Linked DNA regions of Caenorhabditis elegans. The protein of the gene in region 2 purifies or fractionates together with the protein of the main gene of each other region. This does not show direct contact. Each region holds a gene or a part of one and is shown on either strand. Other genes may lie near its edges.

The links.
Region 1: the proteins of fce-2 (region 2) and let-19 fractionate together in Caenorhabditis elegans (co-fractionation; one large-scale study listed by BioGRID). This does not show direct contact.

What each region holds. Positions count from the first base shown.
Region 1 is NC_003280.10:8,768,825-8,774,637, reverse strand, and holds the start of let-19 (Mediator of RNA polymerase II transcription subunit 13), read right to left. Parts: upstream 3,664-5,813; 5' UTR 3,562-3,663; coding exon 3,547-3,561; intron 3,428-3,546; coding exon 3,215-3,427; intron 3,168-3,214; coding exon 3,008-3,167; intron 2,960-3,007; coding exon 2,665-2,959; intron 2,615-2,664; coding exon 1,908-2,614; intron 1,744-1,907; coding exon 1,477-1,743; intron 1,433-1,476; coding exon 1,238-1,432; intron 1,034-1,237; coding exon 832-1,033; intron 786-831; coding exon 615-785; intron 558-614; coding exon 164-557; intron 1-163. Other genes in the region: nsph-1.1 (Nematode Specific Peptide family), read right to left, coding at 5,331-5,461, 5,721-5,811.
Region 2 is NC_003283.11:20,422,955-20,431,874, forward strand, and holds fce-2 (CAAX prenyl protease 2), read left to right. Parts: upstream 1-2,346; 5' UTR 2,347-2,387; coding exon of another isoform or gene 2,388-2,435; 5' UTR 2,436-2,441; coding exon 2,442-2,445; intron 2,446-2,492; coding exon 2,493-2,598; intron 2,599-2,750; coding exon 2,751-2,814; intron 2,815-2,974; coding exon 2,975-3,119; intron 3,120-4,417; coding exon 4,418-4,476; intron 4,477-4,736; coding exon 4,737-4,914; intron 4,915-7,001; coding exon 7,002-7,136; intron 7,137-7,995; coding exon 7,996-8,105; 3' UTR 8,106-8,343; downstream 8,344-8,920. UniProt on the Caenorhabditis elegans protein: Protease involved in the processing of a variety of prenylated proteins containing the C-terminal CAAX motif, where C is a cysteine modified with an isoprenoid lipid, A is an aliphatic amino acid and X is any C-terminal amino acid.

The DNA of each region.
Region 1 (5,813 bases), on a different chromosome or scaffold from region 2:
AAAATTTTCTAATACTATCTCAAAAACTTTTAAGGAATTTATTTGTATTATTTTGAATTATTATAAATGTATGAATTTCAGGAAATATCCCACAATGACGATACTCTACCTTTCAATTGAATATGATTGGAAACAAAATAAATTTTTCAGAAAAAACACTCACAGTTAGTTTTAATTTCCTGATGGCTCTTTTCAATGAACGTTTGACTATTTGTTTCTGCATATCAATATGATACTGCCCCGCCTTCTTTATCTGTTGTTTGCTAACTTTCCTTCTTGCTTTCTTCAACCATTTTGCTTTTCTCATCATTTCTTTTTCATCTTGATCCGCACAAATTTCATCATAACCTCTTAATCCTTTTCGACAAATGCTTCCTTTGAAAAACTTATTTCCTTTTGGTGTAGGAAGTATTGATTCATATTTTTGAATCTTCTTTGGCAAATCCTTCAAATGGTATTCTCGTGGTGAACCGGTCATTTGATTTGATGGATCAAATTGATAATGAGCGTGCTCGATTTTTTCTGCTCTCGACATTCCAGGCTTCCATCGATTGTATCTGAAATTGTAAAATTTGTGTCGAATTCTAGAAGTATTAGAAATTAATATAACATACTTGTCTTTGAATATCTGATTGAAACGCTCTTCAGACATATCATCATCTCCAGGCATTGACTCAAAGTCATTATTATCTACATTGTTGGTGAGATATGTAATTGGCAAAAACGATTTTGGCTTGTAGTTGTCATCATTTGGAACTTTGGGAATTTTGATGTCATTATGAAGTCTGAACAAAATATGTAATTGAAAAAAATAAACTTCTGGAAACTTACTCAAAATCCTTATCAACTTCAATTTCAGGGATTCCCTTTGGGTGCTCTCCCTCAAAATTAGCCCAATCATCCTGAGAAAGTTTGTCCATTCGAAATGAATCATCTTCGCTATCAGCTCGAGTTGATCCAGTTGGACGTTTTTTGTCACGCCTCTTCTTTTGTGCTCTTTCTCGACGAGCTCTCCTTCTTCGTTTGACCGCACCTAGAAAAACAAAAGAATATAAGTAAATATAAAATAGCAGTGCTTCAAAATTTTGAACCATTAAAAAGTTGCAATGGCTTAGGATTACTTAAAGTTTATGTTTTCAAAAAAAAAAAGTAAAAAAACAGAAAGCTCTCAAAAAGTTAGGATGGCCAAATCAGTGTTAAGTGTAATTTTGTGAAATCATTTGTTTAAAAAACTCACTCAGTTGTTTTGTCTGTTTCACACTGTCTCCAGCCTTTCTAGGTGTAATTGGCCCAATTGGATGCTTCTTGTGATAGGCATGAAAATCAAATTTCTTTTGAATTCGACTCCGAATTTTGTGCCATCTAATCGAATTTTCCGTATATGGACCATATTTTAGAAATCTATTGTGACGATCAACGTCTAGTATAACTTCTGAAAAAATATAAAAACTTTGAGATTCTTAAAAAAAAACATACGTCCATCGGATTCTCCTTGGTATTCAGCTTCAGCACAATGTCGACATGATACATCTCCTCTGCATCCATACTTTTTTGCAGTAAACTTCCAATTTAAGAATTTTTCTTTTAGTGGGGGCAAGAGCTGCCCACTAGTGGCACTTTTTTGTGGAACATTTTCTTTTGAAATTAACCGTTCATTTTCACAGTATTGGTAGACTGCCATTGTAGATAGAATTGGATTCGCAACGTTGACAACAAGTTTGTTACGTGGGCGACGATTTTGGGCTGGAATAAATTGCAGTTGAACTAGGAAAATTAAAAATAAATTATTTGGAAGTGCATACAACTAATAGTTGAAAAACCTATCATTTATTGAAATTTTCAATAATCAACATTTTCTTGGCAATTCGTAATGTTTTCAAAATTTTAAAAAATCGTGGTTTACTTACCTTGTAATTCAGGTGGTTGTTGATTTGTCTTCAGACCAATTGACTCAAGCATTTGCCGATCCTCATCAATTGTGACACAAAGGAATTTCGATGGGTATAATAATCGAACACCGTCAATATCAAGAAGAACCATTTTCGGCACATCATTATTCACACATTCTTCCTTCTCTCCAACATCTTCATCTGTCACTACATCCGAATCATAATCATCAGGATTTTTAACTTCTGTACGTTGCCTTTCAACCTCTTTTCGTCGTTCTTCTCTTAATTTCCTTCTTTGTTTCCTCACTTCTCTTGATTGTTCTCTTTTTTCTTTTTCTTCTGGTGTCTCTTCTTTTGATTTTTCTTGACGGTAATCAGGCTCGTACATCCATCGTAATCTCTGTGGAATATCGTCTTTTTTTGACTCATCAATTGCCTCAAAACTCTGTGATTGCTCTTCATCAGATGAATCTGCAAGTAACACTCGAGTTGTTTGTGGTGGAGCTGGTGGATCCGAATCTGGAGATTTTTGCCTTTCTTCTGACACATTTTCTGGTTCTTTTTCTTCCATTTGCAAATAATCTTTCCATTGATTCCATTCTTTTTCTGCTGATTCTTGAATTTTTGGGTCGGCAAGAAGAGCTATTTGGTCTTGAACAAGTTGACCGCGCATGGACCATGGACCTACTACAACCACAACACGTTTTGTTTTGCACTCCAAATGTCTGAAAATTAAATTTTAATTATTCAATAACTATGTTAAAAACTAAATTACCGTCTAGCCAAAGTTATCAAAGTTGGTTGCCTTTGTGCTTGAACAGAAGCACATATCGTGCTGGATCCATGAACAAAAAAGTTGAATCGAATTGCTGGAGAATGTGATGGATACGTAAAATGTAGATAATTTTCTCGTGCATCATATGGAACTGTAAACCATCTTCCAAATCGAACGAATCCGTCTTTTGTAAGATCTCTTTCCAAAACAACGTGCAAAGCTTTGAAGATAATTGTGCGTACTTCGTAGCTCACAATATTCATTTGATTTGCTGATGATAATTCATCGTCGTTATCTGAAAAATAAACAAGTTGAATGAATTAATAGAAAAAACAATAATTACCCAATCCTTCACAATTTTTCTGAAGCAATGCTGGCTCATCATCATACCAAAATACCCAGAGCTCTTTTGGAGCATCATTTGAAAAATTCGTCAGTTTTGGAGTTTCTTTGTTATCAGTTGGGGGTAATGGTTTACGTCTCCATGTGCAAAGAATTCCGTCCTAAAATTTGGATTTAATTAAATTTATGGCTTTCATAAAGTTCTTACCAATAAACATTTACTGTATGCTTTGAGTACAAAATCAGCAGTCAGTGCAACACCACGTGGAGCATTTGGTTTTGTGCGGTAACATTTCCATTTAATGCCTGGCAATTCAAGTAGTGCATAAACATTTGAGATACAGTCTTCTAAGCTGCCACCGTTGTTCCACTCTGGACGCTTCTGGAGCTTCATTTTGCGTGAGGCATCCTTGTCGCTATCCTACAAAATTTAGAAGGTGGATTAGTTTTTACTTTTAGTTAAACTTTCAAATCATAAAAATTTTTGGCAAATACCAAAAATGTATTTGGAGAATTATATTTCAAAAAAAAACAGCGCACCTTGGCGGAGGACATGTCCTCTGTGGAGTCACGGGCTGGTCCACTTCCAGCCAGTATCTTGGAAGCGTCCCTGTACAATTGTTGATTCTGTTGCGACGACACTTTAGCACAATGTTTCTGCAATCGGAACTAATTTGTCGAGCGATTTTGAACGGAGACGACAGGCGATAATAGACAGGCGGTAACAAATTAAACGGTTTTATCTCAATTCGAGTTAACAAAATGAAACAAGAATGGCCGAAATACATAGGAATCATAAAAACAATTGTGTTTTGTTGTCTACAATGCAATTGCCAAAACCAATCAATATTAATGTAGTGGTTAGAAACCTAGGTCCACATTTGGAAATATTCAAGTTGGTTTTGAAATGTTTAATAACATTATTAACGATTATTCTTTTGTGTAAAAAAAATTTGAAAAAAAGAAGTTAAACTTTGGAGTTGAAATTTGATACTGTCAATCGGCAAGTCACTCAGTATAGTTACACCTAAAACTTTTGAAAAATTGCAAGGACTTCGTTTTTTACAGAATTGATAACAATTTCAAGACATTTCACAAAAACTTTTGTAAACAAGATGTCCATATTATCAAACTTAGTTTACAATATAGATCAGAAAAAAAAAGAAAAGAGCATCTCAATTCATTTGGAAAAGTACCAATTAACTTACATAAACTTACATAAGTGAAAACGTTTAATCAACTTATTAGTATAAAAGATTTAGCTTTAAAAAATTCTAATTGAAACTACATTTAATAAAATAAGATATCATTGTAGGTATGCAGGTATTATATGTTCCCTAAATGAAAATAAACTGTCCCATGTAATCTTTGAATAGGATTGCGTACTGTGCAACACACTTGACGCGCATTTTTTGGAAGAGGGGTATTAAAGAAACGTTTTATGTTTTCCCCAGAAAAACTTCAGTGACAATCAATAAACTTTTAAAAATTACGAAAAAGACTGAAAACCGATCAACGAAAGACAGATAACACAGAGAAGAGGCAAGCCATGAGGACAACGTTATCTCTCAAATACGTAAACGAAAGATACACTCGCGCCTCACATTTGACAGATTACCTACACTTTTTTCTCTTTTTTTTGAAAAAAAAACAATCCGAAAAACTTTGAATTTAAAAGAAATAATAAGTGTCTTTCTAGGTGCTAATAAATATAAATTTCAAATTTTATGTTTGAAAAAAATTAACTATATCACGAAACGAAATAAAGAAGTTGTTACAAAATTCACCAATAAGTTCATTAAATCAAATATTTAAATTTAAAAAAATTAAAGATAATTTTTTAGTTGAAAATAAATTATTCGAAAAAACAGTAAAACTATGCTCATCAAATAGAGTCATTGGTCTCAATCTCTTGAACACCCAGACAGAGAAGAAAAAGGACGAAGAGACGACGGAAAGTGGCCCCCGTGTGTGTATGTCTTTTCCTTACTGCGTTTCCTTCTTTTCCCACTCCCTTCATCATGTCTCTCACCCCACCATTGCCCCGCCGCATTCGGAGGAGGCGGCGGCGCGGTCGTCACTCGATCAATCCCCTCTGCACACCTTTTCAAGAAATAAATGAAAAATTGAGAAAAACTAAATTAACAAAAAGTTTATAAGAAACAAAAAAGACCAGCATCACAAAACAATGACTTCAAAACAAATAAAAATAAGTTTCACTCTTTTTATTGAATTATCCTTGAAACATTTGACAAACGAAAATCAAGATTGAGAGATACATTGTGAAACAGATGGGATTGAAGAAACCTTTTGTTCATTCTCGATCAGATGAGCATCGTCTCAGCCATTTCTTTTCTGCAAAGAACCATGATCGATTTGACGGGTCCTCCATCCAATTGGGTCACCGAACCGTTCAGGGCCACTGTAGCACACTCGGTCTTCATGTTCACCTGTCCTACAAGACATATGCTCATTGGCAGAAAAAACAGTAGGTGCTCAACAACAGAAAGTGAAAAAACACACAACTATTCGAAAGTAATCACTTTCAAGCTTACTTCAGTTAAACATATGTTCACTTTATCATATACATACATTTTTTTGGTCAAAGCATCTTACATGGCTTATGATAGCAAAAGATTTTTACTTTTAACCAACGTAATTCTAGATTACTGTAATAGAAAAACAAAAATTTCCGCAGTGCTTTTATAGTTTACCTAGAAAAAATTTTCCATCGACTGGAACAATGGCAGGACAAATGTAGCTGAGATGAACTGGAACGTAGTCTTTGTCACGGTAGTCAATTGCCT
Region 2 (8,920 bases):
GAACCGGTACGTCCTTGGCCTGGTGCCAAGATTACCATCTTATGAGACGAAGGAGGGATGGGGGTGAAGGAATTTGAACTATCTGTGAAAATGAAATATTTGACCCTACTACTAACAAAATGAATTTGATGCGAAAAATTTGAATTTTTGACAAAAAAAAATTTTTAGAAAAAAAAAATTTCTCGAAAATTTTTTTCAAATTCAAATTTATTTAAATCTAAACCGCAATTTTTTCCTGACTTCAAAAATATATTTTTCAAAAGATTTTACACGAAAAGAGCCGAGTTACAGGTGATTTTACGCGCACCAACGAGAGAGTGCGAGGGCGCAGAGAAAGCAGACACTCTGCCTGTCTTCGCCCTCCGCTCTCTCACCGGCGCTTGCAAAAATGGCTGTAACTCGGTGGGTTTTGAGTTTTGGGCTGTGAAAATTATATTTTTGGAATCAGGAGGAAATTTTGGATCAGAAAAGTGAAAAGTTTGAATTAAAAAACACTTTCAAAAAAATTTTTTTTTTTGAAATCGAAAAAAGTTTGTCGCAAGTTAAACAACAATACTGGAATAAACATTTTCTAACCGGAAAATCAACAATTTTCACAGAAAAAGTTCAAACAACACAACAAAATGCCCAGTCAACAAGCGAGAGGTGATAAGGACCTGACACTTGATATCTTCTCTGTTTCTCTGATTCTCTAGTGGTCTAATCAAAGAACAATAGTGGAAAAAGTGCAAAAAGTACAAAAAGTTTGAAGATTTGATGGAAAAATTTCCAAAAATTATACAAAACACACTTTTTTGAAAAATTTTCTCACAGAATTTATATTCATCAGAACCGCATTTTTCTCCTGAATTCAAAAATATACTTCTTAGGGGTCCTGTAGCGAAAACGTGCAAGTTACAGCGAGTTTTGTAGAGACCGGCAAGATAGGGTGGAGAGTGGAGAGCGCAGAGAAAGCAGATACCCTGCCTGTCTGCGATCTCTCCTCTCTCGCCGGCGCGCGTAAAAACCGCTGTAACTCGGTGGTTTTTGAGTTTTGAGAGTGAAAAGTTATATTTTTGGAATCAGGAGAAAATTTCGGTTTTAATGAATGTAATGTTTGAAAAACAAATTTTTTTTGAAAAGTATAAATTTCTGAAATTTGAAATATCCATTTTTAAATGGCAAAATCTTAACAACATTGTATATTTGATTTATTTGATTTGCTCAAGCCGTTCTGTCTGGACAAACATAACAGTTCGAAAATGGGAAATTTCACAGAAAAATGAGCAAAAACTACTGAAAAATATTAGGGAAATCCCGAAAAACGTGCTAAAAACGGAAAAATTTTCAAATAATTCCTCGAAAATGTGCGTTTGGAAACAGATGGTACGCATCACCCGGCTGGACATTGTTTCTCACTCTCTGCGTCTCTCTGTCTCTCTTTCAAAAGAACGAGAGAGTGTGATAATCTAGAAGAGACGCAGGGAAGAGGTCACACTATATTGTATATACACTCATTGAGAAAGAGAAGAAACAAACATCGGAGTGCAATGTTCCTCCTCCTCCTCCCCCCACCGCCTTCCCGCATGGGAGGGCGATGTAGGACACCAAACATCAGGAGGGGGTAGAGAAATTTAATGAGTCGGTCAGAAAAAAAATTGTGGGGGAACCGGGGTTCGAAACATGGAGTGCTGGGTGAAAGGCATCTGTGTTCCCAATTGAGCCACCGGTTCAGCCCCAGAAAAGTTTTGTTTTTGGGGTCCGGTCAATGCAGAATTTTACGCTCTTCATTGTTTCAGTTGACGATTTTTTCAAATCTTGAATCTTGGAGGAGATAGAGCCGATTTAAAATTTACAGAGACAAACGCCGTAGTTTATTCCGAGATTTTTTTGGAAATTTTTTATGCAATCACTAGAAAATAATACGCTGAATATTTCCGTAGTTGAAAATTTTTCAAAATCATTCATCAGTAAAAAGTTATAGACAAATTAAACTTTTTCGATTCAAATTTTCCCATTTCGCGGCGTTTTTCCCAATGGTGGCCTAGAAAACCCCGAGGGTCGAGTCGCTCCATTGCACTCGGCCACCACTATTTAATTAATTAATTTCGGGCTCTTTTTCGTCGTTTTCGCTCGATTTTCGTGATTTTTTCGTGATTTTTTCGTGATAAAATGTTGAAAAATACGGAGAAAATTGAATTTGCGATCTGAAAATACCCAAAATCAGGAGAAATTACCAAAATATTAAGTTTTTCTGGCGGAAATTCAATTTTTCTAAGTAAAAAATCTTTTTAAGCTTTCTCCATCTTTTTATAATATTTTTTAGACGACAAAAGTTGAAAAATTGCATTAATTTTATATTTTCAGGTGAAAAGCTAAACAAAATCCCCCAAAAACCAGGAAAATCGATGATCACAGCCAAACTGTCGATTTTCACCAATTTTTCCCGATTTTAAGCTAAAATGGGTAAGAAAAAGCTGAAAAAAACAACAAAAAAACGTTTAAAAATTCAGGCGCCGGCTTGGTTTCCGCATGCCTGCCGATTTCCTACGTCTTGCTGGTCCATTTGTTCGATAGAAATGGAACCGACCGAAATGACCCGGAAAGTGTGAAGAGGAGGTGCGGAATTGAAGAAAATAGTGCGGAAAAACGGAAAATTTGACGTGGAAAACCTAGGAATATCGGATTTTTTGAAAAAAAAAAAGATTTTTAAATTTTTTTTTTGAAAAAAAAAAAAAAATTTAATTCCAAAAAAAAATTATTTTTTTCAGATTCAAAGGAGCCCTGTTGAGCAATTTTGTCTCCATTGTGGTCACCGCATTCTACCTACGAGATGTATGATTTTTTGGCGAAAAAATTGGAATTTTGCCTCAAAAAGTGCAAAAACTATGAATTTCCTCAAATTTTTCCCCCGAAAAAGCGTAAAATTGTCAATTTTCCACTGAAAAAATCAATTTTCCCGCCAAAAACCGCCCAAATTTCGCCATTTTTCCAGTATACCGACTCTCCAATGCTAGAAATGGGAGTTCGATGGGATAACATAGGACAATCGATCACATATCCATTCATTTTAATGAATGCATTCTATTTAGGACAATTCGTTATGATGCAAATCGATCGGACACTTTGGCACTATTTTGGTACGGGAAAACGCGAGGAAAATCGTGCGAAAAATGAACAAAATCGATGAAAAATTAGATAAAAACGTTGAAAATTCGAAATTTTTGGTCATAAAATGGGAAAAACGTCAGAAATATAGCATTGTTCCGTTGAAAGTTAGTTAAAAATCAGAAAATAAGCTTAAAATCAGATTTTGGGGCCAAAAATCGTGAAAAAAAACACTGAAAATTTAATTTTCCGGCAAAAACTTTGAAAAAAATGCAAAAAATCGATGCTAATTAGTTTAAACAGTCGAAAATTTGTCTTAAAATTTGCAAAAAGCACGAAAACTCAAAAAAAATAGTCAAAAAAAAAGCTCAGAAAATGCAATTTTTCACTTGAAATCTAGAATTTTGCCTATTTCAACACAAAATTTCAAAAAAAAATTGAAAAAATCGATTTTTTTTTTCTTGAAAAATGCACAAAAATTTGATTTTTCAATTTAAAAATTATTAAAAATTCAGAAAAATGCACATTTTCGGACTTTTGCGCTTCAAATTGTTATACAAGTCTGAAAAATTGAGTTTTTCTGTTGAAAATGATTTTAAGTCAGAAAACTGTGAAAAAAACAGTTAAAAATCTGGATTTTCCGGCAAAAATAAAATCGAAAAAAAAGTGAAAAATCGATAAAATAATGAGCTTGAAAAGTCGAAAAATTGTCTTAAAATTGACAAAAGCACCAAAACTTAATTTTAGTCTGAGTTTTCTTGAAAATTCATAGAAAATAGTCAAAAAAAGCTCAAAAAATGCATTTTTTTAAAATAGAATTCCTTAAAAACTGATTCTAAAATGGAAATTCTTCAAAATCGGAAAATTCGATGAAAAATCAGCTAAAAAGTGCATTTTTTCGTTTGAAAAATACGCAAATCGGATTTTTCAGTTAAAAATTAAAAAAAAACGGAAAAATTGCTTTAAAAAAATCAATTTTCGCAGCTAAACCTTTGAAAAAAACAGTTTTTACACTAAAATCCACAAAAAATTGGCAAAATCCCAGAAAAATGCATTTTTGTGGTTTTCATATGAAAATTGTGAAAAAAAATGGGAAAATCGAGAAAAATTAGATAAAAGAGTAATTTTTTTTTGAAAAATGCACAAAAATTAGATTTTTCAACTGAAAAATTGCTAAAAACGTTTGAAATTTGGGTTTTTAGGCTCAAAATGTGAAAAATGGCTCAAAAAATCGAATTTTCGCAGCTAAAACTTAAAAAAAAACCGAATTTTAATGTAAAAAATCAGTTTTTGAACTAAAATTCCCGAGAAAATTGGCAAAAAATTCCAGATTGGTACGAGTGGAAGCTATGTTTCAATAGTTGGGTATGGCGACGGGATATTATTGTGGTAAGAGCATTAAAATGTTGAAAATCTGAAAATTGCAGTGGAAAACCTGGAAAAATGAGGATTTTAGACAGATTTACCTGGGAAAATTCGAAATTTCAGCGATTTTTCTTCAAAATTCACCAATTTTTTCACTGAAAAATTGCCATTTTTGGACTAAAAATTCCCCAAAAAAACTCAAAATTGATGAAAAATTAGTGAAATTTCCGATTTTTCGCAATAAAAATCCCTAAAAAATCATCAATTTCCTCCTCCATTTTCAGGGTCCAATAACCGAAGAAATCGTATTTCGAGCGTGCTCCTCAACTCTTATGGCGCACGTCTATGGTCCAACAATGACAATTTTATTAAATCCAATTCCATTTGCGGCTTCACATTTTCATCACATTTGGGATGATCAACGACGTGGATATTCTCTAGCACATTCTATACTTCAACGGGGTAAAAAATTGGCCGAAAATTGAAACAAAAAACACGAAAATTGCGAAAATTCGGCTGAAAATGGCTGAAAATTAGCCCTGAAACGCGAAAAACTGAAGAAAATCGGTTAAAAATGATCGAAAAATCATGAAAATTTCAAAAATTTGGCTAAAAATCTAGGAAATTGCCAACAAAACTAGAAAATAGCTGAAAATCCAGGAAATTCGTATAATCTTACCCGAAAACTTGAAAATTTCTTGAAATTTTATGGAAAAAGTAAAAAATATCGATTTTCCGACTCAAAATTCGAATTCCACGTGAAAAATCACCCCTATTTTGGATTTTGAGAATTTTTAGTGCAAAATCCCGTCAAATCCGATGCCGAGTACGCAAACACCACGCTACAGTAACCCAAAACACCGGATTTTACGGCATTTTGCACTGAATTCATGAAAATTGAGGATTTAGTGTGATTTGCTATTGGGAATTCAAAATTTTCACGTTTTGTAGCTAAAATTCCAGATTTCTGGCAAAATTTTTAGATTTTTGAAAAAATTGGTCCAAACTTGAAAAATTTTGAAAAATCTGTATTTTCAGAATTTTCGTGCAAAATGTCGTCAAATATGATGTCTTGGGTTACTGTAGCCTGTGTTTGCGTACCCGGCACTTGATTTGACGCAATTTTAGCAGTTTGCTGATTTGCCGGAAATTTTCAATTCCGGCAAATTGCAGATTTGCCGGAAATTTTCAATTCCGCCAATTTGCTGATTTGCCGGAAATTTTCAATTCCGCCAATTTGCTGATTTGCCGGAAATTTTCAATTCCGGCAATTTGCTGATTAGCCGATTTGCCGGAAATTTGAATTTCGGCAATTTTGCCAACTTGCCGGAAATTTTCAATTCCGCCAATTTGCCGGTTTGCCGAAAAATTTTCAATTCCGGTAATTGGCCTATTTGCCGGAATTTTCAATTGCTGTAATTTGCCGACTTGCCGCAAGTTTTTTTGTTCCGACAATTTGCCGCTTTGCCGGAAATGTTTAGTTCCTGCAATTTGCTGATTTGCCGTTAAAATTGCAAAAAAACCGAATTTAAATTCAAATTCCACAATTCACTGCAACTTTTCCCTCACGAGGGACGAGGAAAAGTGGTTTCTAGGCCATGGCCGAGGGGCCGACAAGTTTCAGCGGCCATTTATCTTGCTTTGTTTTCCGCCTGTTTTCTTTCGTTTTTCACTGATTTTTTTTCGTTTTTTCTTGATAAAACTGATAAATAAATATTTTTTGCAGATGCTAAAACAATTTCCGAGTAAAAAATTGTGAATTCAGTCGGCAAGTAGCGGTGAAAGTGGGCAATGTAAAATGATGGATTGCGGGAATACAAAACCTAAACTTTTTCTGAAACATGATACATATGCTGCTTAGATGTTGAAACTACCTGATTTTCATATCAAGACCGCTGAAAAAGTTTTGAGGTTTCCAAAATTCAACTTTTTGTGAAAATCTCGACTTTTTCACCAAAAAAGTTGAATTTTGAAAATCTCAAAATTTTTTCAGCGGTCTCGTTATGAAAATCAGGTAGTCTCAGCATTTAAGCAGCATATGTATCATGTTTCAGAAAAAGTTCAGGTTTTGTATTCCCGTAATCCATCATTTTACATTGACCACTTTCACCGCTGCTTGCCCACTGAATACATAATTTTTTTACTTGGAAATTGTTTTAGCATCTGCAAAAAATATTTATTTATCAGTTTTATTAAGAAAAAACGAAAAAAATCAGTGAAAAACGAAAGAAAACAGGCGGAAAATAAAGCAAGATAAATGGCCGATGAAACTTGTCGGCCCCTCGGCCATGGCCTAGAAACTATTTTTCCTCGTCCCTCGTGAGGAAAAAGTTGCAAAATTGCAATTTTCCAAATTTTAGTGCAAAATGTCGTCAAATCTGATGCCCTGGGTTACTGTAGCCCGGTGTTTGCGTACCCGGCTCCTGATTTGACGAATTTTTGCACGAAAATTCTGAAAAACGCCGTTTTTGTGTAATTTCATGCTGGAAATTCGAATATTCATTCAAAATTTTCCAAATTTTCACCAAAATTCATCAAAATCTCTTCAGGTTTCCAATTCTGCTACACATATCTGTTTGGAGCATTCGCCACGTGGCTCCAACTGACAACACGTCACGCAATTGTGCCAATAATCGCCCACGCATTTTGTAATGCTCAAGGTCTGCCGCTTTGGCTCGAAATTCGTAAGTTTTAAGCGAAAAAAGTGAAAAATTTGAGAAATTTTGGTTAAAAAGAGAAAATTTTTAGATTTTCGTTGAAAAAAGTGTGTAATAATTCAAAAATTTCAGTTTCTTGAATTTTTCAATTCCGGCAATTTGCCGATTTGCCAGGAATTTCCAATTCCGGTTGTTTGTCGGAATTTTCAATTCCGTCAATTTGCCGGTTTGCCGGAACTTTTCAATTCCGGCATTTTGCCAATTTGCCGGAAATTTCCAATTCCGGAAATTTGCCGGTTTGCCGGAAATTTTCAATTCCGTCAATTTGCCGGTTTGCCGGAACTTTTCAATTCCGGCAATTTGCCGATTTTCCAGGAATTTACAATTCCGGCAAATTGCTGACTTGCCGGAAATTTTCAATACTGGCAATTTGCCGGTTTGCCAGGAATTTTCAATTCCGGCAATTTTGCCAATTTGCCGGAACTTTTCAATACTGGCAATTTGCCGATTTGCCAGGAATTTTCAATTCCGGCATTTTGCCAATTTGCCGGAAATTTTCAATTCCGGCAATTTGCCGATTTGCCAGGAATTTCCAATTCCGGCAAATTGCTGACTTGCCGGAAATTTTCAATACTGGCAATTTGCCGATGTGCCAGGAATTTTCAATTCCGGCAAATGGGCAAACCGGCAAGTTGCCGGAACTGAAAATTTCCGGCACATTGCCGGAATTGACATCTTCTAAAAAATCTCGAAAAATTTGAATTTTCAAATTATTAATTTCAATTTTATTTGCGAAAATCTGGAAAAAACACATTTTTTCAGATTTTTTCAAAATTTCAAATTTTTTTTGTTCTAAAAATTTAATTTTCAACCAATTTTTTTCCAGCCAACTACCCGAAACGAAGAGATCGTCTGACGCTCTACGCTGCCTATTCTGTCGGTTTTGCCGCCTTCGTTCACCTATTATATACTCGAAATGGAATGCCAACTCCCTAAATTTTTTTGTTGGAAAATTGAGATTTTTCAATTTTTTTTCAGTCGAAATCCCCATATTTATTACGTTTTCGCCCTCTTTTTTGCCCAAAAAAATCCATGATTACCGAGTCAATTTCTTACATTTCATCCGATTTTTTCTCTATTTTTTCCCAACCCAAATCGATCTTTCAGCTTTGTAATTGTATTTTTTCTGCTTTTTTTTTTTATTTTTAATAATTTATAAAAATTATTTTCAGTATTTTAAGCCGAAAAGTTCGGAAAACCACATTAAAATTCGAATTCGCCATATCAAATAACCCCTACACCCGTGGTGTCAGAATGTCCCATTTCGTTGTGATCTACAAAAAATGCGGGAATTTAGACGCAGACTTCTCAACTGATTTTGCATGGTTAAAAACGTGCTGACGTCACATTTTTTGGGGAAATCATTCCCGCCGCGTTTTTCGTAGATCAAACCGTTGTGGACCAACCTGACACCCCGTGTAGGGGCGCCTAATTGTAAAGGAAAAAAATGAGACACGGTGTTTGCAGACGAGGCGCCTCGAGGCGACGCGCATCTGCGTACAAGGCATTTTAATTGACGCGCAAAACATTAAATATTGAGCGGCATCGATCAAACGGCGCTGTTAAAAGGTTTTTAGTATTTTATTCATTATTAATCAATAAAAAAACTATTTTTTATGATAGAAAAGTGTTAAAAATTGATTTAAAAATTGACAGATTCCAGACCTACCACAAACATTTCTTTTTGATCTACTCCTTTTTTTCGTCCCTCTCTCTCATTCTACGCGCCATTTTTTGCGCAAAGTGAGGAA